Cricetulus griseus: one gene and its partners. The protein of the gene in region 1 purifies or fractionates together with the protein of each later gene. This does not show direct contact. Links are inferred from orthologs where the notes say so. Each region holds a gene or a part of one and is shown in the gene's direction. Other genes may lie near its edges. The genes, in order: Fyn, Cd36 and Skap1.

Region 1 (9,779 bases):
ATCATTAATAGTGCTGTATTATCAAAAGTCAGCTATGGTGGCTGAGGCCTCGTAATCCTATTACTTGGGAGACCTGGGCAGGAGGATTGCTGTTAGTTTGAAGTCAGCCTGGGCCACATAGCAAGACCTGGTCTCCAAAAATAAAAAAAGAAAAGAAAAGCCCAAAAAAATCATAATATTACATCATCAGCTTCAAATAACCTTTGCATGTTGTAGCACCCACGGCCATCATTTCCGATTTTATTAATACAGCGGGTTTAATAAGAACAGCTGCCCCCCAGGAGTTCGGTGAGATGGTCAACAGTAAACAAAACTAGTGATTATTGTGTCTTCCCAAGCAAGGTCAGCCCTTTCTTTCCATCCATACTCTTGGGTCAGCACCCCTCTGGCCCAGAGGTGTACTCTGATCCACGAAGCTTATCTCCAAGCCTCCTGATTGTCCCTGTAAGATGAGAAAACACGTGATAGTCTAATAGCACAAGTGCGTGCAATGGCGCAGTGCACGCTTGTGCTGAGCAAGCGCCATTAACTCTGACGTCCTTCTCTCAGCACCATGTGGCCACTTTGAACAGCGAGCAGGCAGATGGGGTTTTTAGAGAGCTTATACAGAGAATTGAGGGGCCTCAGACGGAAGGCCTCATTCATACACAATATCGTCTTGTTCCCTTTGAATAAAAAGCTCAGTTTGCAAAAGAAATCTGGTATCAGGTAACCTGAGTGTCATTTCCGTTGTTATAACATTTATTTACTCACCGCAGAAGTCCCGATTCCCACAGCCATGGGGGAACTCATGTGCCAGTGTGAACAGAAAACCAAACACGCTGACTACAGATATGGCCCCTCTGAGGCCCCTTGGAAAGCCACACAAATGGAAAGTGGTAAAACATTAGTACTTCTTCTGTAAGACTTTGTCACAAGCAACTGACAGCAAGGTGATGGCTAAGGTGTTTGTTTGACAAAAGGGGAAACTGAGGGTGAAGGAGATCAGGTCCCGAGGGATGGCAGAAAGTCAAGAAGTGACGTCGTGCTCTGCCAATGAAAGTCATTTTTATTCCTTCATTCAAGAGCCTGAAAGAAAAGTGGGGGAGGGTGTCCTGAGCTCGTGTAGTATTCAAAGAGCACTGATGCTCAAGGAGAGGAGAGGTGAGGACCAGAGGTTATCCCTTTGGGAGAAGAAAATGTGTGTGCATATGAGACTACGTGCTGGCCACTGCAGAGTCAGGGTTTGGAAGGAAGGGTTGGAAATCTGACCTCTTGTATTTGAGAAGGAAGCCAGCAAAATGACTCAGAAAGAATAATGCAGTCATAATGTCAGGAAGCAAATGAGCCCATGTGGCCAGAGGACAGTGTTAGGGGCAAAAGGACTGGACGTGTGAGAGCCATGACCATGTGTGCAAATGCAAAAGAAAGATTTGAAGGGAGACTTCAGAACAGCAGGTTGTGGAGACCTGTGAGCTCGAGGCCACCTAGCAAGATCACGTGAGAGTGATCCTCCCAAATGACCCCTCTCCAGGGAAAGAGCAGAGGCCTGCCGCCGATAGCTGAGCTGTGGAGCACAGAAGAGGGTAGAGAACAAATTGGGTAATGGGCATTTTAAAAATGTTACCATGACACGTTTAATTGAGGTTCTGTTTGTGAAATGAAAACTAGCTGAGCCCTTGCTGAGAACTGTGCGAAAGGTTTGTTGGAAGTACCAGTTCTGCAGGAGAGCCCACGTGTGTCCTGGCCGCTGGCTGGTTGGACGAGAGGAAGTCCCAGTCCCCATCCACTTGTCACTCTCAGCCAGTTGCAGTGTCTTATATCCTACTTTTCTGGCAAATCTGTCATCAGCATGTTTCTGTTTCCCTCAGTGTATAGAATTGTTCATGTACTCCCCAGAGGAGAGGACTGGAGAGAGTGCATGAATGGGGTGGGGGAGGGGTGCTGCAGGAAAGGGAGGTGGCCAGCTAGGAAGATGCATTAAAGCTGACAGTGTGGCCCTTGGGGTCTGGCCCAGTCTTTGTCCTGCATAGACTGGGGTATGGCTCTGTCCCATGGCTACAGTGACCCAGAAAGGAGGCCACCCCAGAAAATGTAACATGCCGATTCAGGTTGTCATATCTGCTGTGTCCGAGTCTTGGGCAGAACACTGGAAAAACAGGATTGACCCAAATGGCCAGTTAAAGTTTCCATTGGCAGAGACTGAATTAAAAGTTTAAAAGAAAGGAAATATTTCCATTTGAGGAGTTTGGTTTTTAATGAAATAAAACGTTGCTGACTAAAGATCCAGAGAGCCATGGGAAAGTGGCTAATTGGATTCTGCGGTGCCGCTCTGGGCACTTGGTACCACACAAAGCCTTGGGATGGGTTTGGGATGTTGTGGCTTCTCCCATAGAAGCCTGTTGCACGCTGCAGGCATCTTTGGATCTTTCCTCCAGTTCCAGGGGCTCCTCACAGGAGCCAGAACAAGGGAGACTCCTGCAGACTCAGGCTGTGTGATTCCAAAACCACTATGAAACTAAGAGTTTTATCTACTGAATTGTGCAGCAAAGAATTGCTTCAGAGAATGCCAGTCCCAGTGTGTGGCACCCTCTCTTCCTGAGGTGACTGTCACTTGGGCCGCAGCTTCTTAGCCAAACCCCTGGGAACAGATACACATTTGAATCAGACTTTTTATTTTTTAGTCAATGCAACAGAAGTGTGTCCTAGCATGGAAGAAGAGTCTGGGGCGGAACAGAGGCGAAAGTAAGCGCCATCACAGCACCACCAGATCATGGAGGGTTTGTAGCCAGTTCAGATCTGTGATGCTGCCAAGTGAGTTACAGTAGCTTTCTGATTTCCTGAGCTTATTGGAGTTCGGCGCTGTGGCTGAGGAGGTGGTGGCCTCTGTCCCTTACCATGTTGGGAAAGGGCTGTGGTCCTGTGCCTCCCCTTGCCTCCAGCTCCCCACCTAGATCCTAGCTCTTCCGAATTGGGAGGAGGATCTGAGCTCCTGAGCTGCAGGCAGAACCCAACAGAAGAAGGCAATCCTACACTGGGTTCTGACCTCTCCCAAGGCAAGGGGCTGGCCTGATGTTACCACCTCCAGAAGTGGTAAGGTCAGAGAAAAAGCATCCTACAGGGGTTTGAATAAACAAGTGGCTGGAATAGTTGTAGCGAGGAGACCTAGGTTAGGCCCAGCTTCCAAAGAGTAAAACTAAGAATCACCTACCAATCCAAAAGTGCATGTCTTCCACCGAAGGGAACAGGACTCAGTACCTCTGGCCAAGTAACAGGATTCTGACCAGGTGGTCACCTCCATCACCAGAATTAAAGATGGCTGCATTGCATATATGTGGCTTCCCTACTAGTGACAGCCCTGAGTTTCATGCTATAGATGACAGAAGATTGTAAACTGTCAGAAGTTAGGGAGTATTCCAGATGACAGGTTCACAAGGTCCTGTCACAGAGAAAGAAGGGCATGATATGACAGACAAAAAAAAAAAAAAAAAAAAAAAAAAGGCAAGGGCGAGAGTACCTGAAAGTAGCTGGGAGGTCACACTAAGTGTGGTATTTCCTGTGCTGTCAGGAAGGCCAGTGCAGGGCAGGCTGTGCTCAACCTCCCGCCACGTCCAGTCAAGAACATCAGCACTAGGCAGTTCCTGCATAGGGGCAGGAAGGTGTCAGATGATAGATGGCCTGCCCGAGGTCATCCATAAACAAAGGCCCTGCCTCCCTGTCAAAAGTTCCCAAACCTCCGAGCACTATGGGGGTCACCAGGCCAGATGGTGCCCAGCCCTGCTGGCATGAGGGCAAGTCTCAGACACTGTGCACAGGCATGGTGAAAACTATAAAGGCCCTAAATGGATCGTGTATGTTCTGCAAATAGTAGACTGCTTGCTCATATTCCATGGGGTATTTGTGTGTGCGCTTTGTTCATACAGAGGTTTCTTTTTAATTGTGTTTGTGTGGGGATATCTGCATGTAAATGCAGGTATCTGCAAGGGCCAGAGGTGTCAGATCTTCTGGAACTGGAATTACAGGCAGCTGTGAGCCGCCCAGTGTGCATGCTGGGAACTGAGCCCAGATTCTCTGCAAGAGCAGGACACACTCAGAGCCACCAAGCCATGTCCCCCACTCCTACGTTTTTATCTGTTTGACTGAGGTACAATTTACACACAACACATTTTGTCTAAGAGCCACGTCAGTACACACATGCTACACTGGGGTCACAGCCTGCAGCCCATGGGCCAAGCCTGGCCGCCCACCTGGTTTTATCTTAAGTCCTTTCTGTGGCATGAAGAAAACAAAGCTTGCATTCGCCCACCCAGACAAAAATATTTGCTGTTGGCCCCTCACAGGAAAAGCATGGGCATTGGACACACCACTTCTCTCACTTCTCAGCTCCCCCTGACCTTTCACCGGTGTTCCCTACCCCTAGCAGCCACTGATCTGCTTTCTGTCATGCAGTCTTCTGCCTTCCTGTGGTCTAACATAAATGAAATCATCTAGTATGTTGCCTTTTGTGTCTGGCTTCTTTCACTTGCAGTGCTTTGAGATTCACGGTCTGGGCTTTTGCATCTATGAGTTCTTCATTCCTTTGTTCCGTTCTTTCTGCACGGTGTGACAACCGATGAAAGGCATAGTTCCCCTCCCAAGAGGGTGAATGGCATCCCTATGCTTTACCTGTGTGACATGGTAGTCAAGGCCTAGAGCCCAGGCATGCCTGCTCTCACTGCCCCTTGTTTTTGTAGGCATGAACAACCGGGAGGTGCTGGAGCAGGTGGAGAGAGGCTACAGGATGCCCTGCCCACAGGACTGCCCCATCTCCCTGCACGAGCTCATGATCCACTGCTGGAAAAAGGATCCGGAAGAGCGCCCCACTTTCGAGTACTTGCAGGGCTTCCTGGAGGACTACTTTACCGCCACAGAGCCCCAGTACCAGCCCGGTGAAAACCTGTGAGAGCCTGCTCTTCAGAGACCTCTTCTGAGGCCTCCCCACCCCTCCCCATTAGCTTCCAGTTCCGTAGCCAGCTGCCCTGAGCAGCAGAACCGTCCAGGATCAGATTGCATGTGACTCTGAAGCCGGCGAACTTCCACGGCCCTCATTAATGACATTTGCCCCCCAGTCCGAACCTCCTCTGTGAAAGCATCCAGACAGAACCGTGTTATTTCTCAGACTTTGGAAATGCATTGTATCGATGTTATGTCAAAGGCCAACCTCTGTTCAGTGTAAATATCTGCTCCCGTGCCAACAATCCTAGTACTTTCCTTTTTTAAAAAAAAAACAAAATGCAAATCCTATGTGATTTTAACTCTGTCTTCACCTGATTCAACTAAAAAAAAAAAGTATTATTTTCCAAAAGTGGCCTCTTTGTCTAAAACAATAAAATTTTTTTTCATGTTTTAACAAAAACTGATCAGGACAGGTGTTTGTTTTTTTTCTTTTTTATACATATGAATATATACGTAAAATGTTCCTGTATATACACCATGTGGGTGCTACCATGGAGACTGTGGCCAGCAAAGGCCACATAGTTACAGGGCCCAGAGTGAGGATCACTGGGGAAACCTGCATCTAAGCACTGGTGTTATTTTGAAAGCCGGTGGCCTCCGTTTTTTACTTCTACAAAGCATGATTTTCCCCCCTTCATTTGGATTGCACTTTTTCAGTTCCAGTCATACCTGTAGATTGTTGTTCATGTGACTTTTCAGGTCCCTGAGCTGAGTTCACGCATTTTAGTGCCCGTTTCGCTCCAGCGTACTGTGATCTGTTCTTGCGACTTGAGAGTGAGCACACTTAAGCAAGCAGCCATCCAGTCCTACCCTGAGGGCTGCAAGACGGAGACCGCATAGACTTGCTGTATAGATATGAATGCTGACTTGTTTTAAATGTTCTTCTTTTATTTAATAAATCTTGTAACCACATTTAAATGGTCTAAAACCCATATAGCATTGTAGTCACGGCAGCCTACTAAACTTTCTCATGCAGCTAAAAATGACGGGGAAGGCAAGGGTGGGGGGTTGTACATGTCCCATTGTAAAATAAGTGTTCCAATGTCCTGTACTGCTAATGAATGACTCTCCATGTCGAGCGTACTCCAGTCAATAACTATGCACTACTTTACATTTCATGGGGGTGCACAAGAGGGTTGCGTTTTCAGTTGCTGTTTGTACCAACCTTGAATTACATATGTTTAACAACAACAAATCAATTCCTATTTCTATTGAGTTTTTTAATACTGAATAGCAACTCTAAAGTCTTAATTCCTTTTTTGTTAATGATTTATTTGTGAGTTTACATTTTTAATTGTTTAACTTTCTTAATTTAGTAATTAAAAAGAGAGCATTTTACATTTGAAAAAAAATTTGTTCATTTGTGTACATCACAGGAGGTACCATAGGCGTTCTGTGACATATCTGTCCCACACCAGATGGTGAAGAATCACCTGGTGAATTTGGCCATTGGGCAATGATTTCCAAATGACAGAAACATTCAGAACATCTGGAGACCCTCCCCACTAAGAGTCAAAGTGATTGTCTGACTAATTCAGAGGACTGTTGCAGCCAAACTGGGCATTCCTGAGTGTTGTAGTCTATCTGACCCTGTCTCTAAATGAAATTTACTGTGTCTCATTTGTAGAGGAGAGAGAATAGTCTTTCTTGATCTTGAGACATAAATACATTTCCAAGTATCCCTCTACTTCTCTAATGTTTTCTAATGACTAATGAAGTTGTTAAGCAGGAGTCTATGTGGTGGGTGGGCCAGGTAACCGTCCACCATCATTCCTGCAGAACCTGCGTCGTCTCACCTGCCAGCCAGTGTGCCGACAGGAGGTACAGATGCACTCTCCTTGCACCCTTAAGACTCCAGGGTCTCTGGTGTCATATGGAGCCACACAATGAAGAAGAGGGTTTTATTGTTACAGAAATAACATTTACCTTTAAAAAGGCTTTTTAGCATTGGGGGGATATAAAGCATTTTAAAATCAAAACTTGATTATTTTGGATATGACAGAATTTCAAAATTTTATTAGGTACAATTTTTATCACATTGGACTTCTCATTAACAGGTTCTAGATTTTTTTTATAAAGATAACTATTTTTAATCCTTACCTTGTGTTAGGTAATTTGCAAATATTCTCTGGAGGATTTTTGTTTTGACTTACTGAAAAATTCTGAAAAAGAAACTGTTTTAATTAGAAATTTTTAGAGAAAAAAACGTATTTGCTTTTCATTTCAAGTGAGTTCACTGTGGGTTCTTGTCTATAAAGGAAAACTGAGAACATAGGTCAGCGCCAGTGCCCACTTACGAGAGCAGAACCCTGGAGCATTCTGGAATGTGTGTGCAGCATTGAAGAACAGAAGAAATGCCATCAGGAAGAAATCAGAAGGGTCCAGGTTTTCCCAAGCATCTACTGTGCTTTCGAGCACTAGTCCCCAGGTCACCTCTATGCTAATCTCGATTGGTCCTGAGGTCTCCTCTAGGGAGGCACAAGTGATAAGTGTTGGGGTCAGGGAACTGAAGTTGCTTACCAGAAAGTTCTTACTACAAAGGAAAACATCACTTTCCTGTGACCCAGGTGAATTTTTTGTTTGTTGGGGAGGGGGGATTCTTGTTGTTTTTGTTTAGTAACTCAGAATGAGGACATAAGTACTTGCTGTCTATGAGAGCCACCAACTGGCATTGCTCAGCTGCACAGGATGCCTTCCCAATAAAATCTAAATAAATCCAACACAGAGCTGACTGGAGAAGCCCATTTTCATAGCTCAGGGGTAAATGCGGATAAAAGGGTTCCTCTTCACTCCATTGTGGTTGCATCACAAACTCAGGTTGCAGCAATGAGATACCTCATGGGACCCCGGTAGATGCCAGGTCCCACATGTCAGCATCAGCTCAATGGACTTTTCGAGGCCCTGCCCTGGTGGGAACAGGTGTTTCCATGGGGAAAGTCAAGGGTGATCATGATCCCTCAAAACCTTCCACATGACTCAATATTACTCACCTGGAGACAGACAGGAATCCTTCTGTGGCTAACTCTTGGCAGCAGAGGAGTTTCCTGCTAGCACACAGTTTTTGTCCACAATTTCTCATGGGGCTGTAACAGAGTCTGCCGTGTTAATTGGAATGGTTCTTTGATGGGCAGCATGCTGAGGAGAATAGCACCATAGCTTCCTTCAGAAGATATGACTTCTCTATTGTTGGCCATGACGCAGAACAAGAAAACGCACAGGCTGCGTGTTTCCTAACAAGCTATCTTTGTGTAAAATGGTGTTTGGTCAGCTTGTTCTGAAGGATATTTTAATAGATTCAGATGGCTTTTGTTGGCTTGCTTTCCATTGTATGTTATACTGTAAGATTCAGTTAGGCTAATGTCAAAAATCTATTTTCTGGAGGGAAGATGAGAGGGAGAGAAAGAAGGAGATTGGCTTTTTATCCTGGAGAGGGAAAAAAGCAGCTCGAACAGCGTCATTATCTATGTCTATTTTTTTTTTAATTTTCAAATGTAGATTCTAACTCCATAGAAAATAATGAAAAAGTAATGACTGTAGTATCCTTTAAATATCAAATGAACCTTCATAATAATTTGTGTTTGTATCAATATTCAGAGAAGTTTCATAACATCCAAACCATTCCTCATCTTTACCCAATATGCAAAATGTTCAGAATCCTATGGGGAGGACATGGGGACCAATATATCCTTGTTTTACATTAAAAGTGGGAACATATAGCTAAGTGATAGAGCACTTGCCTTGTAAACCTGAGGCCCTGAGTTCATCCTCTAACACCACACACACATGCATGCGTGCACGCACAAATCTAGAGGTTGAAATATAAATAAGTCGTTTGTGATTCTGTATGAACGACCCTGTGAGAATGCAATGCTTGACAAATGACTGCTCTCCCAACAGCCACAACAACTTGCTCATCTCAGAGGTACTCGGAATGCATGGCATCACGTGCTTCATGCCGCTAGTGTGTTTGATAGTACTGCTCTTCTTCCAGGCAAGGCTGAGCACTCCTCGAGACCGGAAATGGCATGGTGTTTTGATTTTACTCTTCTTCACCTTGAACAATGATGGGCTTCCAGAAGGTGTGGGGTTGATGCATGTGTGCATGGCTAGATGGGTAGTGCCCACCAGTCAGTGGGGTGATGGTTTGCCTTCAGATGACACTCTTATGTGAGAGCTTGCTGAGCATGAGGGAGCTTCAGGGTGCTGCCTTGGCACTGCCCTGCCCCTTACAATGTGCAGTCATCAGTCTTCAAGATAACTGGAAGGCTCCATCTGCAGCCTGAAGCAGGCATAACCAGTGATCCCACCCCTCCCCCAGATCTCACCCCAACACCCATGGGTAGAAACCCAGACTCCTTAGAGCATGGTAGCTGACGGCACAGCGTGAAAAGTCACCAAGTGAGGTGTAGTCTACAGTGATCAAGGGAGGTCCTATTTGAATGTGATGATTTTATGGAAACATGATATTCCATTTCCTAAGATAACCATCTGTTTTCATATAAAAATGTTTCTCCAAACCATCCAGGTGTGCAGTGTCCCCAGCCAGTGGCTTGCAATATCCCTATCACAGCTCTCATGACTAAGCTACTTCCAGCCTATGTGAGAAGCACTACTTGAAGTGGTAACATACTTTTGTGTGGAGACTGAACATGGGAAAGGTATCACCTCCCCCGACCCCACGAGGCTTTTCTGATTTCCCTTCCCACTCAGCTGAGAACAGCATGATGACTGAATGGAAGAAAAGGCAAGAGAGAGCCTAATGATGGAAAGGAAAAGACAAGCCACCCTGAGCCTCCTGGAGATAG
Region 2 (10,564 bases), on another chromosome or scaffold:
CTAATAATCCTTAGACAAAGAGAAATGCTCTATGCTCTTCCTAAGCAGTAAGGAATGCCTTGTGTATAAGAGAAAAATCATTAAGAATTCTGTTTGGAACTAAAATTGGTTTAACTAAAGAAGGCATAGCTTTGGGAATTTATTAGTGACAATGACAGGACCATCAGCCATGAAGCAGAGAATATTGAGGTAGACTAATGAAATAAAACTGAGTAGAAATAGAGATGCATAGATATGAAAAGATTCCTGTGATTTGGGATCAGGAGGGAGAAAATGGTCACTGAACCAAAGATGCCAGCATGTGACTATCATAATAAAAAGGTACATTTTCCTGAAGTTTGAAACACATCCACTGAAAGGACTGATACACATTTAGAGTGCTTCTGTTCAAAAAAGCAACTCTGGAAATGGGGTTATCCTTTGGGTAGTAGACAGTTTGACAACCAAGTATCAGAACCTGAGTTAGGTCCTCAGCTACCATGGGAAAACAAACAAACAAACAAACAAACAAACAAACAAACTAAAACACTGGAAATGGTGGAGTGTACTTGCAATTCTATAACTGGGTAGGCTGAGGTGGGTGGATTCCTAGAGCTCACTGGCTGGCCTACCCAGCCGATTCAGTAAGCTTCAAAGCCCAGTAAGAGATACCTTGGTTCAAAAATGAAGATGAATAACCTCTGCCAAAATATCACAAAAATGGTCCCTAAGTTGTGTCTAAGCCACTTGCTAATATTCTTTTCCTCTAAACAATCTTGAGCAAGGTTTCACAGTTCAAATAGTCCTCAGCACTCTCTTCCATTCTCCTAATAGTATGGCCAATTAAGGCCCACTTAACGCATTCCACTGCTTTTCTAGGCCAAAGTTCCAAAGTCTACTTTCTGCCAACAGGCAGCATTGTCAGGTGTTTCAAAGAAATACCAACTTCCTGATGCCAAGTTCTGTCTTAGTCACAGTTCCATTGCTGTGAAGAGACACCATGGCCATGGCAACTCTTATAAGAAAACCATTTAGTTAGGGCTGGCTTATTGCTTCAAAGGTTTACTCCAATGCCATCATGAAAGGGGGCATGACTGCATGCAAGCAGACATGGTGCTGGAGAAATTAGAATTCTACATCCTAAATTACAGGGAGAAGGATGAATGAGACACTGGGTCTGGTTTGGGTTCGTGAAACCTGAAAGCCGACCCTCAGTGACTTATTTCCTCCGATGAGGCCACACCCACTCCAGCAAGGCCCTGTCTGCTAATTCTTCCCAAGTAGAGACACTCCCTGATGACTAGGCATTCAAATTTCTGCCTATGAGAGCCTTTTGTTTTGTTGTTTGTTTGTTTGTTTGTTTGTTTGAAATAGGGTTTCTCTGTGTAGCCTTACCTGTCCTGGAACTCACTCTTTAGACCAGGCTAGCCTCGAACTCACAAAGATCTGCTTGTGAGTGCTGAAAGTAAAGGCATGTTCCACTACTACCCAGCTATGGGACCTCTCTTATTCAATATGCCACACTCCCTTACAGATATGCTCATGGGCCAATAAGATCTAGGCAACTCTTCAATAGAGGTTTACGACTCAAGTCAGTCTAGGCTTCATCAAAATGATTAAGATAGCTAGGACATCTGTTATAATTGAAATACGCTGGAAGTATATTTATGCTTTGACAATAAAGAATATTTGATTATATGTTGAAAGCTAACTTGTGCATATTTGAATATATGAAATATACTACTTTTTATTTTCTGAAAATACCTCTCTTACTGGTATATTTAAAATCATATACACAACTCATGTTTTATTTGCTGACTACACTAGAAAGAGAGATTACTAGGATTTTCTTGGGTTCACATCACCTAAAAACATTTGTCACTGGCTTGATCGTTAACAGATGCAGCCTCTTTCCCACCTTTTGTTGAGAAGTCTCGGGTACTGCGGTTTTTTTCCTCCGACATTTGCAGGTAAGTTTCTGGAATGTAAACATAGACTTTTACCATTCCAGTCTTAATACAAAAAATAGAAAGCCTAATTATTTACATTATTTGAAAAATAGACAAATATTTCTCTTGCTTTCTTAAGAATGCATGTGGCAATATGGAATTAACATTCTTTATTATTTCAAGGTAGCCTATGCAACTGAACATTTTTTTTTTAGTGGAAGCCATTTTGTAATCATTTCTTAGTACTATTAATCATGTCTGCTGATAAACTTCCAACATCCATCAATCAAGGGAATGCCTGGTCTTTCTGAAGATATCTAGACAGGATGACATATCTGTTATAGAGCTGTATTAATAATTCACACAGTAACTTTTTAAAGTTGGTGGCTTCTAGAATATACCCATGAGTATTGAACTCCTCACAACTACTCCTGATCCTCAATCCTATCCCTGAAGATGAGACTAAGCAATCTTTAGACACCTCAGAATCATTGTCCTATGTATAAAACTTGGGAGAACAGTACTGTGTCACACTGGATTAACAGTACATAGAAACAATGAATATTAAATGAGCTGTGACAAAGTGAACTGGGCATGGAGGGCATGGAGGGTAGAGATTTGGTCCATGCACACACCCCACCAGGAGACAGGCTCTTTCTTTAAGTTCTTTTTAAAAGATGGAAATTTCGTTTAAATTGAGCACATGTAAACAATTTGAATAAGTCATATAAATATTTGTTGCATAGAAGAATTTAACTATGAGAAACATCTTTGACTTTTATTCCCCATGACAGTTCACATGTAAACTTGACCCCAGAAGAATTTTAAGAACTAAAGAATTCATATTTCATACTTGTGGTTTTAATCATGGTGTGTTGTAAATAGTGAAAACAACACCAGTAATTTTTCCTAAGAATTTAAAATTCTATCAGGAATCTATGACTGTTTTCTAAGTTAAATCAGGAACACAAACTAGATTTAAATAAATGAATCAGATCTCCAGAACAGGATTCAGGCTCCTAATATGAAGCTCTTTCTTCAAATATCCATGTAGATCCATCTACGCTGTGTTTGGATCTGATATTGAACTTAAAGGAATCCCAGTGTACAGATTTATTCTTCCAGCCAAGGCCTTTGCATCACCAGTCCAGAACCCAGACAATCACTGTTTCTGCACTGAAAAGGTCATCTCTAATAACTGTACATCATATGGTGTGCTAGACATCAGCAAATGCAAACAAGGTATGTAGATGTGCTTATTACCAAAATTCATGTATATGCTTTATTTAATAATACTTGGGAATTTTATTAATTAAGTTGTACCATACTTTTTGATAGGGCTAGAAAACATTGCATTATGAAAAATAAAGCATATTCACAAAGATAGATATCAAAAATTTTCTCTTGTATGCAGAATGTATAGTTAAATCTCCTTCTCTCCTGTGTGTGTGTGTGTGTGTGTGTGTGTGCGCGTGCGTGCGTGCGTGCGTGCGTGTATGTGTGTAAGCTTTGAAATTATAATGGGGACCATAATAGACAAGAATGAATTCCTAAAGTGGGGAAGATACAGCAATGAAATTCATGTGACAAGGAAGTTTAGATGAGGGCTGCTAGTTAGTTATGGAAAGGAATCCTCAAGAAAGAGTAGATGGAGGGGTTAAGTATCATAACATATAATGCAATATTTACCCATAATTCTTTTTATTAAATATTTAAAAATTAAAGAAATAATGGTAACCTCTGGTGACAGTGAATCTTTGGTGTTTTATTTATTTATTTATTTTTTAGGCTTCCGTTGTGTTTCAGTATTGCAAAATTAAGCTATTGGGAAAATCACATTGGTATTATGCCATGTTGTTTGGTGGTCAGGGAAAATTCCCAGGATACAATGAGTTTCCTAACCATCTACCATGGTTGTGGCTTTTTGCCCTTAGAAAATAGAGAATAAAATTAAATAAGCTTTCATTATGTCCCTAAAGTAAGAAGTGAAAAGTAAAGAACTCAAAGTCTTCCTTGTCTTGTTTACATTCTTTATAGTACAGTAAGAATAAAGAAAATACAAATTACTGAGATGTTCAGTGCTGTCATAGCACCTCCTGAAGTTTGAGAACATGTATGACGCCCAGATATGTGCTGTTCTCACTTGGTTTAGTGGTGAACATTTGAATTCTGGAAATCAGTGTCTGAAGAAACAGATGTCAGCTGGCTGCATAATAATAAGCAGGTGTAATTCTCTTCCCTCAGCAGTTCAAAAACATTTATATTTTAATCTATGAAAGCTTTATCTTCTAACAAATATTTTAAATGATTCTATGCAATGAAAAATAATCTATTTCCAATTGTCTCTTAAAATGTGTCTTCAGGAAGGCCTGTGTACATTTCCCTTCCACATTTTCTACATGCAAGTCCTGACATCTCAGAACCTATTGAAGGCTTAAATCCAAATGAAGAAGAACATAGGACATACTTGGATGTGGAGCCTGTAAGTTGTTGTCTTATTGATCTGATTTGGTTAATATTCTTCTAAAATTTAAGAAAATAATTTTATCATATTCTTGGATCATATCCTTAAGATCGCTAAAACTGCCAATGCGGCTAGAAACTTATTTCTTCCTATTCTATGCATACATGGCATATAATTCAATTTTGGTTTTAACACATGAAATCTTACAAGGCTTTTACTGGCCTAAGGATCCAGGAATTCTTTTTTTTTAATTTTATTTAAATTAGTAACAAGCTTGCTTCGCATGTCAGTCTCAGCTCTCTCTCCCTTCCCTCCTCCTCCACCTCCAATGGACACCCCCCAAACTTCTCACTCCATCTCCCCCTCTACATCCCAGGGATGTTGAGGCCCTCCATGGGAGATCCCCAAAGTCTATCATATCATCCCAGGCAGGGTCTAGGCCCTCCCCAATGTTTCCAGGCTGAAAGAGCATCCCTCCATGTGTAATGGGCTCCCAAAGTCCATTCATGTGCCATGGATAAATACTGATCTATTACCTAAGACCCCATGTTCAGGGGGTCTGGGTCAGTCCCATACTGGCCTCTCAGCCATCAGTCTATGGTCCATGAGCTCCCCCTTGTTCAGGTCAGCTGTTTCTGTGGGTTTCACCAACCTGGTCTTGACCCCTTTGCTCATCACTCCTCTCCTCTACTTCTAATAATAATTTCATACATCATCATCATTATCATTATCACACTTAACTGGCATTGTTTTTGTGAGGAATCTTTGCTTTCAGGAATCAAAGATATTACCATTATATGTAAGTTTCAGAGAAAATCCATAACCAGACAAATGTATAACAGTTGTATTACTGTTATAGTACAACTATTAACATTTAAATTATCTTAGTGTTCTTTTCAAAACCTTGAAGGGAGACTATGGTTGCAGCTCAGTGGTCTAACATTTGCCAGGCATGTATGCTCTGAGACTAGCTCTCAGCTTCTAAGAACTGTGAGGGACATATTTCTGCTAAAATAATGGAAGTCTGTAACAGAGCCTTTTACTGATATGTGGACTGTAACTAAATAAATATCTGAACATATAATTTAGGAACTAAATTAACTATCTGAATTTGCCTTTTTTATATTTTTTACTAATGTTTTTGATTTCTTCTAAGCCAAATTATGTGGATTTAACAACTTAAAGAAAACTTTAATGTTAGCTAGAACAAGAAAATTCTCTCTCAAGATATATATATATATGTGTGTGTGTGTGTGTGTGTGTGTGTGTGTGTGTGTGTGTGTGTGCGCACAAACACATGTTGGACATGATTGCATATACTTAAGCACAAAGTTTAATAAACTCTAATTTCCCATCCTTAAGAATTCTTCCCTTTTAAATTCTAAAGAACTATCTTTGTGTCACAGAATGGTAAAACCTGACTATTACAAAAGAATATTTTAGAAGCTTGTATATGTTTAACTTCCTCTTTTTAGATAACTGGATTCACTTTACAATTTGCAAAACGACTTCAGGTGAACATCCTGGTCAAGCCAGCCAGAAAAATTGAGTGAGTCTCTTTAACATGTTGTTTTATGCAGTGAGTAGCATTTTCTTACAATAATGTGGGTAGAATAGTAAAATTGGAATGTCTTAGGGTTTTTCATCTTTACGTCATTGCACAATTATTAAATGCTTAGGACTCTTTTTACTAGAAGAATCAGATATAGTGCTTATTGAAAAGGCTTTTAGATATTTTAACAATGTTAGTTGAATGTTGTTGGGGGCTTCTCTTATGTGCATTATTACTACTACAATCACTTCTATATCATATACTTTCCTAGATTTAAATTTGTACCTATAAACCAATAATATAATTAGAAATATACATTAGCTATATGAATTGAGAATCTGGAAAACATCTGTTTTATAATGTATTCATTGAGCAGAACTTGAGCAATACATGAGATTAATTGAATTCTGAAAATTTATTTATTCTAAATGTCTTTTATATATGTATGAATATACCAATAACTATTTTTGATGTGTATTATAGAGCATTAAAGAATCTGAAGAGAAATTATATTGTACCTATACTTTGGCTTAATGAGGTTAGTATTTTATTATTCATTAATTACAGTTTATGCAAAAGATTTGGTATTTTTAAATGACATGTACTATAATATTTGAGGATGTATTTACATTTCCTATAAACATGATCTTACACTTTGACATCTCTATTAGAAAAAAGCTAATTTACATAGGGATATTTAAGTTTTATGGTTTGATTTTAAGACAGACAAATGATTTTACACATTTTACTTGTCATAGTACTAAACAAAGAGACATGCATACATGTAACATCACAGAATTCAAGACTCATTGAATATAACAGTGGTATTAAAAAGCCAATTTTTCCTAAACATGACATATTAGAATATACTGACAACCTTTTGACCGATAAGCTATTTTACTGTAAACTGCTAAATTGATTAATCACAGATTTAAAAAATGCATTGCAAAAACCCTCAAAGCAAGCACAACTGTTGATCTCTGCAATTTCTCCCTGACACCAGGAAGCAACATTTGGTAAGTTGTGAAATACCAAAGAATTCCAAAGATCAAATGAATGTTGGTACATAGCTGAGTTCTATTCACATAAGCCAAGTGGGAAGGGAGACATCTGTACACTGGCCTGTGCAGTGCATCTACTTTTGGATGCAAAGTGAATTGTACTGACTTTCTGATGCAGCTTATCCTTACCCAAATGTTTAAAGAAAGGATGGCATAGAATTATTTTGTTTCATTAATTTACTCAAATAATATTAATTGTTAACTTGATTACAGACTGGAACTATTGGCGATGAGAAAGCAGAAATGTTCAGAAATCAAGTGACTGGAAAAGTAAAGCTTCTTGGTCTGGTAGAAATGGTCTTGCTTGGGCTTGGAGTCGTGATGTTTGTTGCTTTTATGATTTCATACTGTGCTTGCAGATCCAAGAATAGAAAATAAGTAAGTGCTCTAGCAAAGTATGTATTCTTTTACTATTTTCATCTTACTAAAAATGGCTATAAATTAGGGCAAAATATTTCTAGACATGTTTAGCCAATTATAATATCTTAATATAAATCCCAATTTTGATTTTGGTAAATTAAAAAACAAATGATTATTTAAATGGTGACCACTGTAAAATTAGCATAAATATAGCTTTTGTCTAAATTTAGACTTACAAATTTCTTTTGTGTCAATCATTGAAAATTATAATTTATTAAAATTATAATTATAAAATTTTAGTAGATTGAAATTCATAAGAGCAAGATAAAAAATGAAGATATAGGAATATATAGATTTTGATGAAACAATGTAAACAAATATCATCATAAAACTTGATTGGCTGCCTATACACATTAGCCATACCTTTTCCCATTCATGGGTTAACAGCATAGCATCCTGATGATAAAGAAATCACTAGGTGAAAATTAGAACATAAAATTACAAGAAAATCAGTTAATTAATTGAGTAACCTAGTTTAAAGCAAAAGTAGGTAATTGTAGATAATACTTAAGAGTTTTGGCAAAACTTTTGAGGGTGTTCAAGGCACTATGTATATTAATGTCCAAGTTTTTCTACATAAAAATGAAAGTGTAAGTAAATTAGCCTGGGCTAAAAGTGAACTAACTTGGAAGGAAAATTTCCCAATATATGCCCCCCACACACACAACAAATGCAGCATGAGTAGAAAATGCTTGGTTTGAAAGATTAGAAATTCCAAATAAAACGCTTTATTCTCCTTAAGTTAGAGATTAACCATAAATTGTCTTATGTAGAAATTTTTATTTTTATCTCATTAACTGATATTGAACAAATACTAACCATGCTAGACTTTTATTTTGTTTTGTTTATTTTTGAGACAGGGTTTCTCTGTGTATGTTTGGAGTCTATCCTGGCACTCTCTGTAGACCAGGCTGGCCTTGAACTCACAGAGATCCACCTGCTTCTGTCTCTCAAGTGCTGGAATTAAAGGCCTGCACCACCAATACCCAGTCATGCTAGACATTTTACAAGAATTATCACATCATTCCTAACTGAATTTTTTGTGTTTCCAGTAACTTGAACTAAACACTATGATATGTCTTCTGAGACATTATAGAATATTATAAAATATCTAATTGTCTATGTTGAAGTCTAGGTTAATCACATTAGTGTTTTCAAAACTAATGTGGAATTTTACCAATATTTATTTTGTGGGAAATTGAACATTTTTATTGGATAAAGCAGCTCAATGTTGTGCTCTGGATAATTTCTACCACTCATTCTAAAATTTGTTTGCACAACATGTGCTTAGAATGCTAACCTGACATGTCCACATTGTAATAGTTAACATAGGAGGGGGAGTAATGTCAGGGAAGCTAAGAGCATCATTGCTCTTCCCAAGGACCCAGAAGGTGGCTGCTGGCTCTGGGGGCAGGAGGTTGATGCCTGCTCCTGGCCTCCACAGTCATTGCACAGGCTGATACACAGATATACATGCAGGAAAAATACTCATCCGACTCATGAGATCAAAGCAGCTAAATCTACAGCACAGAAACATTATTTTCAATAAAAAACAGAAGAAAATAAATAATATTCCCCTCCAAAAGTTAAAATACCTTAATATTTCCTGTTAGCCCGACAGCAAGTTATGATGTATATTCATGTGTCTATGATAGGTTAAAAAAAACTATCCACTAAAATTGATCAAATCGCTCCTCAAGTACAAAAGCATACCTATGCAAGTTATAATTTTCTTTAATTACATGATTAACTTAATCATTGCTTAATTATCCTCCAATACAAATTTCCTTAGATTCTTCTATGACTAATTGGTAAAAACAATTAAAAACTTTTAATGTCTTCATCACTAAGTGTCTGTTTTATGAATGCTTTCCATTGTTATGAAGAAAGCATTTTCCCCATAAACAGACTTTCCTTGGCAATACCTTGATTGTTCCAGGCTTAGAATTTTGAGGGGCCATGCTGGAACATTCTAAAAAGCATGTGTCTGGCACACATCTGTAGACAACATCCTAAAAGGAGACAGCTGTCTAAACGGAAACATGTAAAGTGTTAAAGAGAATGTAGTTTACTGCATACATCATGCGGGAAATGGACCAAGCACATTTTGGTTGTAGTGACATATCCTCCTCTTTATGGAAGACAGTCTTGAGTGTATTGTGATGTTTGGCAGCTGATTTAATTAGCTACCCTCCCTGGTCTTATTATGCTCAACTCCTGCAAGTTAGGATTCAGCTTTCAATGTGTAATTCGTGGATAGGAACATGTGTTCCCTTAATGATGAATCTCTTAGAGGATCTCTCTCTTAGTTTGAGATATTGGGCTGTATAATTGAAAGTATCATAACTTGGATATGTAGGGAAAGACTATTTTAGCTAATTGTTATCCCACTGCTTTCTGATTGGTAATGTTTCTTCTACTTTACAGGTAGCAAACACGACTACATTTACGCACTGGCTACATGAAGATTTTTGATAAAACCAATCTAAAAATGAAGACTTAATATATGCTTTGTTTTTACAAAACACACCTATATTTAGTTGAAGAAATGGTGGTGTGTGTGTGTGTATGCTCTCTCTCTCTCTCTCTCTCTCTCTCTCCATATATATATTATATATATAATATATATATATTCACTAAGCCAAAGCATATTTCAAAATGATTAATTTGACACTGTAGCCTATATTTTTATAAAATCCAGTACTTTGTAAAGTCCGTCATTTGTAACCTTGAGTGGACTTCAATTTCTTTAGAACCAATTTTTCTTGTTTGGTTCTGATTTATTGTTGCACTCCATGATGGCAAATTTCAAAAGTGTACATTCTGAGCAATTTTTCTTTTCTTCATTTGTGGGAAAACACCATCATGTATGGGGTGTCACCTTCATTTACTGCAAATGTACCTTGGGACTATTAACATAAAGTATCTCATAAGTATGAAATATATGGAAAGATATTTAAGATTGAAAAATGAATAGCAGGCATATGAGCCATTGCTTATATATTGTTTGTCTCTTCCATGCTAGAGTCCTTGGCACAGCAAGGTCAGAAATCACAGCGATTTTCTTTTTTACTTCCTAACACTGAGCTCATAAGGTTTGTCCCTCACCATGAAATGGACATTTTTAGCTTTTCTTACT
Region 3 (10,664 bases), on another chromosome or scaffold:
ATCATTATTGCTATTATTACCACAATCATTAGAATTATTCCAGACAGGGTCTCACTATGTAGACCAGGCTAGCCTTGAACTCGAAGAGGTCCACCCGTCCCTGCCTCCTGAGTGCTGGGGTTACAGGTGTGAACCTCTACCCCCACAGCCCCCTTCCCCACTGGAAAAACACTTCTTTTGTTGTGTGAGGAGTATTGTTGAAGGTTGAAACAACCAAACAGATAGTTGGGCTGCAGCTACTAGCTAGGAACACAATGACTTGATTATGTCCTGCATAGGGGAACGGGAGAAATTGTTAAGAAGGTGAAAGCCTTGGAACTAAATCAGACGGAGGGCTAGAGGGTATGGACTCTGCTAACAGGGGTGAGAGGCACTTAGGAATGAGGAAATCCTTTGAATGGCCACTATGTAAATCCCTCCTCGCTTCCCCTGCACCACCAGCATCTCCAGCCAACGAGGTCTTCCGTCTGCATTCACAGGCCTGTCCTGTGAATAGTGTCTTGGGGAAACTGAGGAAGAGGATAGGCCTAAACCAGGATTTCTCAACCTCTCAACTAGTGACAGTTTGAGCTGGAAAAGTCTTCGAGGTTGGGGCTGTCCTGTGCGTATATTCTAGAAAGTTCAGGAGTATCCTCACTTCTGCTCACTAGGAGCCGGTAGCCTTCTCACCAGTGGTGCCAATCAAAAGTGCCCAGATACTGCCAAAATCTCCTGAAGGATCCTGGTTGGCAACAGCTGTTCTAAGTCTAGATAACCAGGACAGAGCATGTGTAGAGGCGTGGGACCTGTGTGGTGTGACACTCTGAGATGCCTGCTTCTTGAAAATGACCTAGAGCCGGAGGAGAGTTGTGGGTTTCCCCCGGGAGGAAGTTCCCACCAAGAGTTCAGAGGTCTGGGTAGTCCTAACGTCTACACTGTTCTCAGAATGAAGTTCAAATAACCCATTCACACCCCACCCCCATTCCGCCCCCAGCTTCCTTGCCATGTGAAACTTTGCAAGCATGCGTTTGTTTATCTTATTGGTCCATCCTGGCTTTCTACAGGACGGGAAACTTGTAAGGACTCTTTCAAGGTTCCCATTCATCCTTTAGAGCAGTGAATCTCAACTTCCCTAACTCTGTGACCTTTAATACAGTTGTTCATGTTGTAGTGATCCCCAGCCATAAAATTATTTCATCGCTACTCCATAACTGTAATTTTGCTATTGTTATGGATCGCAATGTAAATATCTGATATGCAGTTTGGGAATCTATAGAAGGATAGTTTGAAACCCCAAAGTGGTCTTGACCCTGTGGTTGAGAACCTCTGCTTTCCAGCCTATTGATGATTTCTATGAGAAACTTTACGAGGATGGAGAGTAGTTTGACCCATTGTCTTCGTTGTTATCTAGCCTGCAGTTTGCTGAACGTCTACACCTTGGTAGACTCCCAAACATACAGTGTTTCTATTCTGATGTTTCAGTTGAAATTTTGCTTTGTAGAATCTTCAAGGTGGCATTTAAAAAATTCTGTATCAATCTAGTCTTGTATGACTAAGCATGTTTGAAGGGGAGGGCTCTGTTAACCTCACAGAAAGATTTGTTTCAAGTGTGTGCTTATCTGTGTCTAAAAATGGTATGTCCTTTTTGTTTGTTTTTTTGTTTCCTTTTTTTTCTTCCTTTGTTAATTTGAGACAGGGTTTCTCTGTGTAGCCCTGGCAATCCTGGAACTCACTGTGTAGACCAGGCTGGCCTCAATTTCAGAGGTCCATCTGCCTCTGTTTCTGAAGTGCTGGGATTAAAGGCATGCGCCATCATGCCTGGCTAAAAATAGTATTTTCCAATTAATTATAAGTTTTAAAAATGAAATGTCATTTCCCCCTCTTTTGTTTGTTGCATCTGTTTAAATGATAGGAGAAAGAGAGTTCCAGATTATTTTCTTCCTTAGCCTTAATTATCAGACACGTATACGGTGCTTAATACATTATACATATTGTTTTAACTCATTTTCAAATATCTACCATTTAATCTTCATATCATTCTGAGAGACAGGTATTACTAATATTTTCCTTTTATGGATGAGGAAATGGAGCATAAGATCAAAACAACCATCCATATTGGAGTGTGGACAGAGAGGACAAGGATACAGCACATTCCATACAGGACTGGTGGGGGTGTTCTTCTGTGTATATATTTCTCTTATTGGTTGATGAATAAAGCACTGTTTGATCAATAGAGGCAGGAAGATAGGCGAGGCTAGGAAATGAGAATTCCAGGAAAGGTAGGCAGAGAGGGACTTCGAGGGAACTCTATGAAGACCACAAAGGAGTAACAGGTCTGGGCATTCTCTGGTAAGCCAAGACCACATGGAAATACATAGATTAATAGAAGTGGGTTAATAATTAAGACAGAGCTAGCCAATAAGCCCTAGTCATTGGCCAACAGTTTTATAATTAATATTGTGTGTTTATTTGGGGCTAAAGCGGCAACGGGACCTGGCTGGAAAGAAAACTCCAGCAACACAGGACCCACGAGAAAATACTAAAATTAAAGAAGAAATACCCTGTTCATGAAATATAACTTCTATTTCTTTTGAAATAGGGCCACGTATAAACCAGACTGACCCCCGCTATATAGTTGAGGCTGGCCTTGGACCCCTCATCCTCCTGTCTCTACCCCTTAAGTTCTGAGATTAAAGGAATGTACCACCACTGCCAGCTTATTTTTATTTTATTTTAACAAATCTAAATAGCCACACATAGTTAGTGGCTACTATGTTAGAAAGCACAGCTTAAATATCTGAGATGAGACAAAGAGTCCAAGAAAGAAGCTCATGATACAAAAAGTAAGCAATCAACAAGGGTGACTGGAAAAATGTTATTATAGATATGATTTTGAAATGTCATATAAATGCACACATGTCAAGTTCTTGAAACATAATGTACATAATAAAACATTGATTATTTTCTTGGCTAGAAATCTTCACATTGACAGAAAGAACCAAAAGACACCAGCTCATTAATATTTGTTAACTTGAGGGACAGGATTACATTCTTTTTTAAATCATAAGGGTAAAGCAGACTACGGACAAAATGCTAAAATGTGTAACTTCTAAGCCCGTTGAAGGCAGGGGAGCAGTATTTAATAATTGTCTTAGGCCGTTTGGGCTGCTCTAACAAAACAGTTTATAAGCCACAAATATTCATTTATGCTATAAACAGTTTGTAAGCAGCAAATATTTATTTTTCATAGTTTTCCAGACTAGGGAGTTAAGACCAAAACACTTTCAGATTTGATGTCTGGTGAGGACCTGCTTGACTTTTTAGAGATGACACTTTCTGTGCCCTTGCGTGGTAAAAGGGGCAAGTAGTGACCCTAGGGCCTCTTTTTATTAGAGCTCTGACTTCCATCAGGACAGTCAATAACCTTCCAAAAGTCCCACCTTTTAATACTACCACATTGGTGGCTGTGTTTCAGCATGTGGATTTGGGGGAGACACAGGCATTCAAACAGTAGTGGTGTCCTAAGCAAATGCTCACAGACAACAGCAAGTAAAAAACTAGAAGTAGAAATACAGTAGACAAAACTGTCCACACAGTGTGCCCTGACTAATAAAATATCTATGGGCAATAAGGAAGAAAAGGTGTGGAGATGTATTGATAAAAGGAAGAGCCTGGGAAGGGTCAGGTATTAATGGCAGAAATCAGCAGAGGGTTGTTGAAGTAAAACAGGGATTAACTCAATGTAACCAGAGAAGCTGGGCATTTCTGTGGTCTTGCCTGGCTAGGACAGTCATTTATGCTTAAATGGTATATGCAGATAATTTGGGGGTTCTTCTTAGAGCAAAAGAAACCTGGAGTACTAGCCAGTAAGTCCATGGAATTAATTCAATTAATTAGTTAAAATTAACATTTTTGACCTATCTTAATCCTTTTTACCCACAGACCAAAACAAACACCTCAACTGTTTTCTTGGGTGCAATGCCAGTTACAGGCAGAAATGTATCCATTATTCTTCTCAGAAATGCGAGTTCTGCTTTAGCGGTTCAAATTCTTTCACACAATATCCCCTCTAGGAACACTTTTATTGGTATTTGGTTGGTGGAATTGTTTTCAGCAGCACTGGGTCATTCATCTTGCCTCCAAATAAAAGGTTGATTGAAGCAAACTTTTGAGTTTTAGAAACATATATCAACAAAGAACATTTGCAACTGTTAGCGGCACTGACTGAAGTATTTTCCCCCCAGAGTGTCAGGAGTGTTTTTGAGAAAACAGGAAGAAGCCACATTTATCTTTCAGTCGTTAGGAAAAAAAAAATGTGACCCTTAAGATGTTATTCTTCTCCAAATAAACAAAATAGTGACTTTGTAAAGGGACAAGGTCAGAGAATTTGGGGAAAATATCAGACACTCTTACTAGCCTTGAACCAGGAGGTCTGGGCCCCTCCTGGCAGGCAGCCTTAGCGCATTAGTGGGTATTTGCTGGGACATGATGACCGTATTGTGCCTCCAGTGTGGTACATGCCTTCTACTCCCTTGTCCCAGTCCTTTATTTATTTATTTTTTTCTTTCCTGTTCTGACTTCCTTGCACAGATGTCTGAAACCTGAGGGCGTTTTCCTTTTAGGGCAGGTGTGAATTTTAATGTCTTTGCCAAAGCTGTGTTTACCTTTTAAATATGAGATTTAAAGCAATCGTGTGTTACTGTAGTGCACCATACTATGTGTTTATGAGTGTGCCTTCTAGATGAACATTGCCGCCTTTCTTTCCCCTCCTGACCTTGTTTAGCTCTTCAAGTTTAAATCTCTTCATTCTCTGTAACTCACCTCTGTCCCTGACCTCCAGAGACATTTGTGAATGTCACTCCTACGCTCCGCACTTCCCTTTTTGGTAGCTCCTGTCATAATTCTAGTTGTGCATTTGACTGTCTGTCCTTTGCTCGTGTGTGTCCTGCTCGTTTTCCCGGTGCCCATTGAATACGTGATGAAGAATAGAGGCATTTGTGTGTGTCATTGTTTATGGCAGGTGGCTGGCATCTTTTCCTATGAGGACTTGAGTGTCACATGGTATTGCTCACTCTCTAGCTGAAGGCAACTGTTGGGCAGACCCCATGAGTGCCTCATCCTCCTTATTGACACTGGATATTGCAGTTGCAGAGACCCCAAGGCATCTCGATCTGGCAGCTTTTTAAAGAAATTGAGTGCCAAATGTCAAATCCAGGAGCTTGCATATACACCAGGCAAGCTCCAGTCCCCACAAAGAGCTCTTGTTAGCAAATCTGTTATCTACTTAATGGGAAAACCTACTAGCAGAATGGTGACTAGAGAGAGGTGGGGCATTGCAGGACAGCTTGAGATCTCTTTCCTATCTGGCATCTTCGAGACGGCTTGCCCAGGCCCCTTGGGTTCTCACCGTGAGAAGCTCCACCTTCTCAATCAAAGAGTGAAGTAGTTTCTCTAATTTCTTTCCTTAGTGTTTTCATATCAGGATTTTGCTGGAGGCTGAACGCAATATCAAAAACACAAGCCTGCATGTAGCCCTTCCTTCTGACTTCTTGTTTTCTTGGCTCTATATTTCACCTAGAAAGCTTGTGGGTGTATCTGTAGAGTGCATTCTAAATAAACAATGAGATCAATGGCAGAGGTCATCATTGTGTCTTTTTACTTCTCCAAGAAGATGCTGATTGCAGGTAAAGAAACAAACACTTCACTCCTGAAGTATCTAAGGAAAGGCTTTCTCATAATTAATCGGAAGGAAAACTAAAACAGGACAAGTTTTAAGAAAAGAATCAACTCATCCTTAGCAGCCTCGACAGGGCCGTAATTATAACCCATTGGTACATTTCCGCATATGGAGTAGGCAGGTATTTTACTTACAAGAACTTAGTAAGGACCAATATCAACTTTACCTCAGTAAAACTGGGTGGAGGAAGAATTTAGTAGGTAAATTCAATGATTTCGTGTGTGCGTGTGTGTGTGTGTGTGTGTGTGTGTGTGTGTGTGTGTGTGTGTATGTGTGTGTGTGTGTGTGTGTGTGTGCACAAGTTCATATCCATGTGTGTTCTACAAGAAGAAAGTGAACAGTTTGACTTACCACATCACATAAGATTTCTTTATCATCACCATCATCATCATCATATACTACAGGAGACTGAACCCAGGCCTGAGCAAGGTAGGTAATACCCTATCACTGAGTAATATCTCCAGTGCCTTTTGTATTTTTATTTTGAGAAAGTGCATCACTGAATTGCTAAGGCTGGCCTTCCACTTTCCATCCTCCTGCCCCAGCTTCCTGAGTAGCTAGGATCATGGGCTTGTGCCATAGGACCCAAACATAGCATCATCTTTGCTGCCCACTTCCTGTACCTGCCCATTGGAACCCTACCCTGTTAAGGACTATGTGAAAGCCAGTCAGGTCCTCTACCACTGAATGAATCCAGGGTGGGGAATGGAAAGTAAAGGGTCTCTAAACCGTGAGTATCTCAGGGTTTACACTGATTTTTATTGTACTATTTTTTTCTATTCTGAAACATACAACTTAGAAATAGACACACATCTAGAAATACAAATAAGATGGTAAGAATAGCTGCCGTTCCACCACCTGGTAGTGACCTCTGCTGAAGTTCTGATGCTCATCACAGTGCCCAACCGGAGTGTGGCAGTGACTCTAAAATGAATGCACCGAGCCCTATATTTTAACTTTCTAGTTAGTTTGTGTGTGTGTGTGTGTGTGTGTGTGTGTGTGTGTGTGTGTGTGTGTAACTTTCAGGACTTGATTTTCTCCTTCCACCATAAGGGACACAGGAATTGCACTCCTGTGTTCAGTCTTGGAAGCTAGCGTTTTTTACCCATCTTGCTAAATAATCAGATTTAGCGCATTCAGATTACATGGTTTACAGCTTTTACTAATTGAATTTTTGTGGAAAGTTTAGGTTTACATGAATATTAAACAGGTGATGCCAAGTTCCCTTAACCCTTCTCTTTCCTCCACTTTCTCTTAATTAGAACATTTTACGTCTGTGTGGTGTTGCATTAGTCAGGGTCCTCTGGAGGAACTGAACTGATAGAATGGATCTATTTACATGAAACGGAATTAATTTACTAGAATGGTTTACACGCTGTGGTCTGGTTGGTCCAACAGTGCACTTTGCCAACAGAAGGGCCAAGAATCCAGTAGTTTTTCAGTCCATGAAACTAGACATCTCAGCTGGTCTCTGGTCTGTGTTGAAATACTGAAGACGGGGGTTCTAATAACAGCAAAGGAACCTCTCAGCTGCCACATAGCTGAACTTGATGGTGGGAGAGAGGGCAAGCAGGCAAAATGAAAAGCTTCCTCCTTCCGTGGCCTCTTATGTGGGCGGCTACCGGCACGTGTGGCCCAGATTTAGGGTGGGTCTTCTGACCTCAAATGAGCCTGATTTAGGGTGGGTCTTCTGACCTCAAATGATGAGATGAAGACAATCCCTCACAGGCATGCCCGACTGCTTGGGTTTTAGTTGATTCCAGATGTAGTCAAGCTGACAGCCAAGATTAGCCATGACAGGTGCTTTGGTTATGTCTAACGTACCAGCATCATCACATACCTAAAACCCACAGTTCATTCAGTTTTCCTGATTTTACTTAATGCCCTTTTTCCATCTCAGGATCCTATCCAGGATACAGTCAGGTCTTCTTGGGTGCCTCACAGCTGTGACTGTCTCCCACACTCCCTTTGTTTTTAATGAGTGTAACCTTTTGAGGAGTGCTGGTCAGGTAAATGTCAGAATGACCCTGTATTAGAATGTGTCTAGCATTCTTCTCAGGTTTAGACTGGGTTACAGGCTTAAGGGAGGAAGATCACAAAAGTATCATTTTCACCACATTGCATCAAGGGTCCACACTGTCGGTGTGATTTATGATGGTTGATGTTGAACCATGAACACCTGGCTGGTGTCAAGTTTCTCCTCTGTGGAGTTGCTCTATTTCCCCTTTCCTTTCTGCAGTCTTTTGGAAGAAAGTGGCTGTGTACAGCCCATACCCAAGGATTGGGAGGTATGTTTCCTTTATCTTGGAGTAAAATATCTACATAAATTATTTTGAATTCTACACTATAGATCTGTCTTTTACTTCCCATTTGTTAATTTACTTAATTACTTATATTACTTATGAACTTAAGAGTATTTATTTATAATTTGGGTTATAATTCAAGATTATTTTGTTGTTGTTCAGATGTTTTTTTTTTTTTTGTCAAGGTCTTACCTTGTATCCTTGTCTGACTTGAGTTCTATCTCTAGTATAAGTGTGAGCATGCACTACACACACAAACACATAGACAGACACACCCACAGAGACACACACACACACACACACACACACACACACACACACACACACAGATGTGGACCCAGACACACACACAAACACACACGGACACACACACAGACTTGCACAGGCAGACACAGACACCCTCCCACCCCCCACCCCGCCACACACACAGCACCATGGATGGTCATTTTACTGACTCCTCATTTCCGAGTCTACTTATGTCAACACCTTTCCTTCCAGTGAAGCTATTCCATCCATCTGTAGGATGGTTATGTCATGACAGTCTACATTTGAGATCTTCCAACCTAATTGAGAAATGCCTCTATAAAATCCAGCTGTGGGTCATTTTCTTTCTTCTGTTTTTGTTGTTTGTTTTTGTTTTTGTTTTTTCGAGACAGGGTTTCCCTGTAGCATTGGAGCCTGTCCTGGAACTTGCTTTGTAGACCAGGCTGGCCTCGAACTAACAGAGATCCATCTGCCTCTGCCTCCCTAGTGCTGGGATTAAAGGCATGCACCACAACCGCCCGGCTACAGACAGGTGATTAATCAGCTTTGGGATCACACGTATTGTGTTACAAGCGTTGCTGTACCCAGGTTTTACTTGGGTAGCAGAATTTGAAATCAGGTCCTTGTGTTTGAACAGAAAGCATTTTACCTACCTAGCCATCACTCCAGTCTCTCTTTTAAATTTTTAATCAAGACTTAATAGAGCTAGAGATATGGGAACAACAGAACACTTGCCTAGAACACACAAGTTCCCAGGTTCATCAGCACTGACAAGAGGGAGAGAGCAATGGGACATATTGTTCTATAAAAAGGTCAGTTGGCTTCAAGTACTTGGAAGCTCAGTTACTGGGTTCATATTCTTTTGTAATTGTTATGTCTCCCAGTGATGTGGCCCTTTTGTCATTTTGAAATAACCTTCTTTATCTCTGGTATTTTCCCCTGCCTTGAAGAATACTTTGCCTGACATCACTGCGGCAGTTCTGACTTCCCTAGTCTTTCTGTCTGTCTTGCTGATTGTTTCCCATTCTTTTACTTCCAGCCTTCCTGTGTTTTAATATTAAAGTGTATTTCTTGTAGACAACATATAATTCAGTCTACAGGTTTTAGTATAATATCTTTATTCATTCCTTGAGAATCTCATGCATTCATGCAATGTATTTTGATCATATTCACTGCCTTCCTCCCCCTCCAACCTCTCTCATATCCCAGCTACATCCGGTTCAACGTCATGTCCTCTCAACCCACCAAGTCCAGTTTGTCCTACTCAGACACTCATGGTATGGGACATCCCCTGGATCTTGGTGAATCTACCAGGGGGACCATACCATACCCCTAATTGACTCTCCCTCCCCAAGAAACCATCAGCTTATGTTAGGCGCTGGTCTGCCCCTCCCTACCCATGCTGGAATATTGACTGTCTTGGTCAATTGACTGTTGTAAGCTCCTAGGGCAAAGGGTCTTGTCATGTTCAGAGGACTGTTTCACCCTGTGACACTTGCAGTCTTTTTGTCCTCTGCTCCACAATGTTTTCTGAGCATCAAGGAGAGGGCAGTATGCTTCAAACGTCTATTTTATTCTTGAGCCCTCCACAGACACCTGTTCTCTGTACTATGACTGGTTGTAAGTCTCTGCATTAGCTGCTGTTGTCCATACCAAAAAGCTTCTCTGATGAGGTCCGAGAGATGCACTTATCTATGGATAGAAAGATATATTCAGAAGGCATATTAGTAAAATTATAGTAGGTTCATCCCTAAGGCCAATGGAACTCCCTCATCATAGGCTTTTGGCTGCATTTTTGCACCAGGCATGAGTTTTTTCCTATGGAGCAGGCCTTAAATCCAATCAAAAAGTGGTTGATTACCCTATAACGTTCATGTCACGATTGCACCTCAGAAGTATCTTGCCAGGCTGGTTATCACTAGCTCTCAGCCTTCACAGCTGGTAAAACTTCTGGTACTATGAAAACTAGCCAGCATGTAGTATGCTTCCAGGATAGCACCAGCTTAATCTCTCCAAACCCTATGATCAAAGTGTATTAATGGGAGATGTCCTTCTGTACGCTGTGAATGTGTGTTTCTCTTATTGGCTGATGAATAGAGCTGTTTCGGCCAATGGACAGGAAGGGTATAGCCAGGCAGGAAGTATAGGCAGGGCTACCAGACTAGGAGAATTCTGGAAGAGGAATGTAGAGAGGAACCACCAGAGAGATACCATGTAGCTACTGGGAATGTAGGACGCCCAGGCACTCGCTGGTAAGATAAGGCCATGTGGACATACAAAGATGAATAGAAATGGGTTAATAATTAAGAGAGAGCTAGCCAGTAAGAAGCCTGAGCCATAGGCCAAACAGTTTATAATTAATAGAAGCCTCTGTGTGTTTA

The links.
Region 2: the proteins of Fyn (region 1) and Cd36 purify together in Homo sapiens (affinity purification with western blotting; 3 studies listed by BioGRID). This does not show direct contact. The link is inferred for Cricetulus griseus from reciprocal best matches to the Homo sapiens genes FYN and CD36.
Region 3: the proteins of Fyn (region 1) and Skap1 purify together in Homo sapiens (affinity purification with western blotting; 3 studies listed by BioGRID and IntAct, with this or other methods). This does not show direct contact. The link is inferred for Cricetulus griseus from reciprocal best matches to the Homo sapiens genes FYN and SKAP1.

What each region holds. Positions count from the first base shown.
Region 1 is NC_048595.1:262,062,467-262,072,245, forward strand, and holds the end of Fyn (tyrosine-protein kinase Fyn), read left to right. Parts: intron 1-4,712; coding exon 4,713-4,921; 3' UTR 4,922-5,886; downstream 5,887-9,779. UniProt on the Homo sapiens protein: Non-receptor tyrosine-protein kinase that plays a role in many biological processes including regulation of cell growth and survival, cell adhesion, integrin-mediated signaling, cytoskeletal remodeling, cell motility, immune response and axon guidance.
Region 2 is NW_023276806.1:176,318,805-176,329,368, forward strand, and holds part of Cd36 (platelet glycoprotein 4), read left to right. Parts: intron 1-1,879; coding exon 1,880-1,949; intron 1,950-2,982; coding exon 2,983-3,170; intron 3,171-4,291; coding exon 4,292-4,410; intron 4,411-5,867; coding exon 5,868-5,941; intron 5,942-6,427; coding exon 6,428-6,482; intron 6,483-7,218; coding exon 7,219-7,383; intron 7,384-9,852; 3' UTR 9,853-10,564.
Region 3 is NC_048600.1:109,630,732-109,641,395, forward strand, and holds the start of Skap1 (src kinase-associated phosphoprotein 1), read left to right. Parts: upstream 1-5,608; coding exon 5,609-5,663; intron 5,664-10,664. UniProt on the Homo sapiens protein: Positively regulates T-cell receptor signaling by enhancing the MAP kinase pathway. Required for optimal conjugation between T-cells and antigen-presenting cells by promoting the clustering of integrin ITGAL on the surface of T-cells.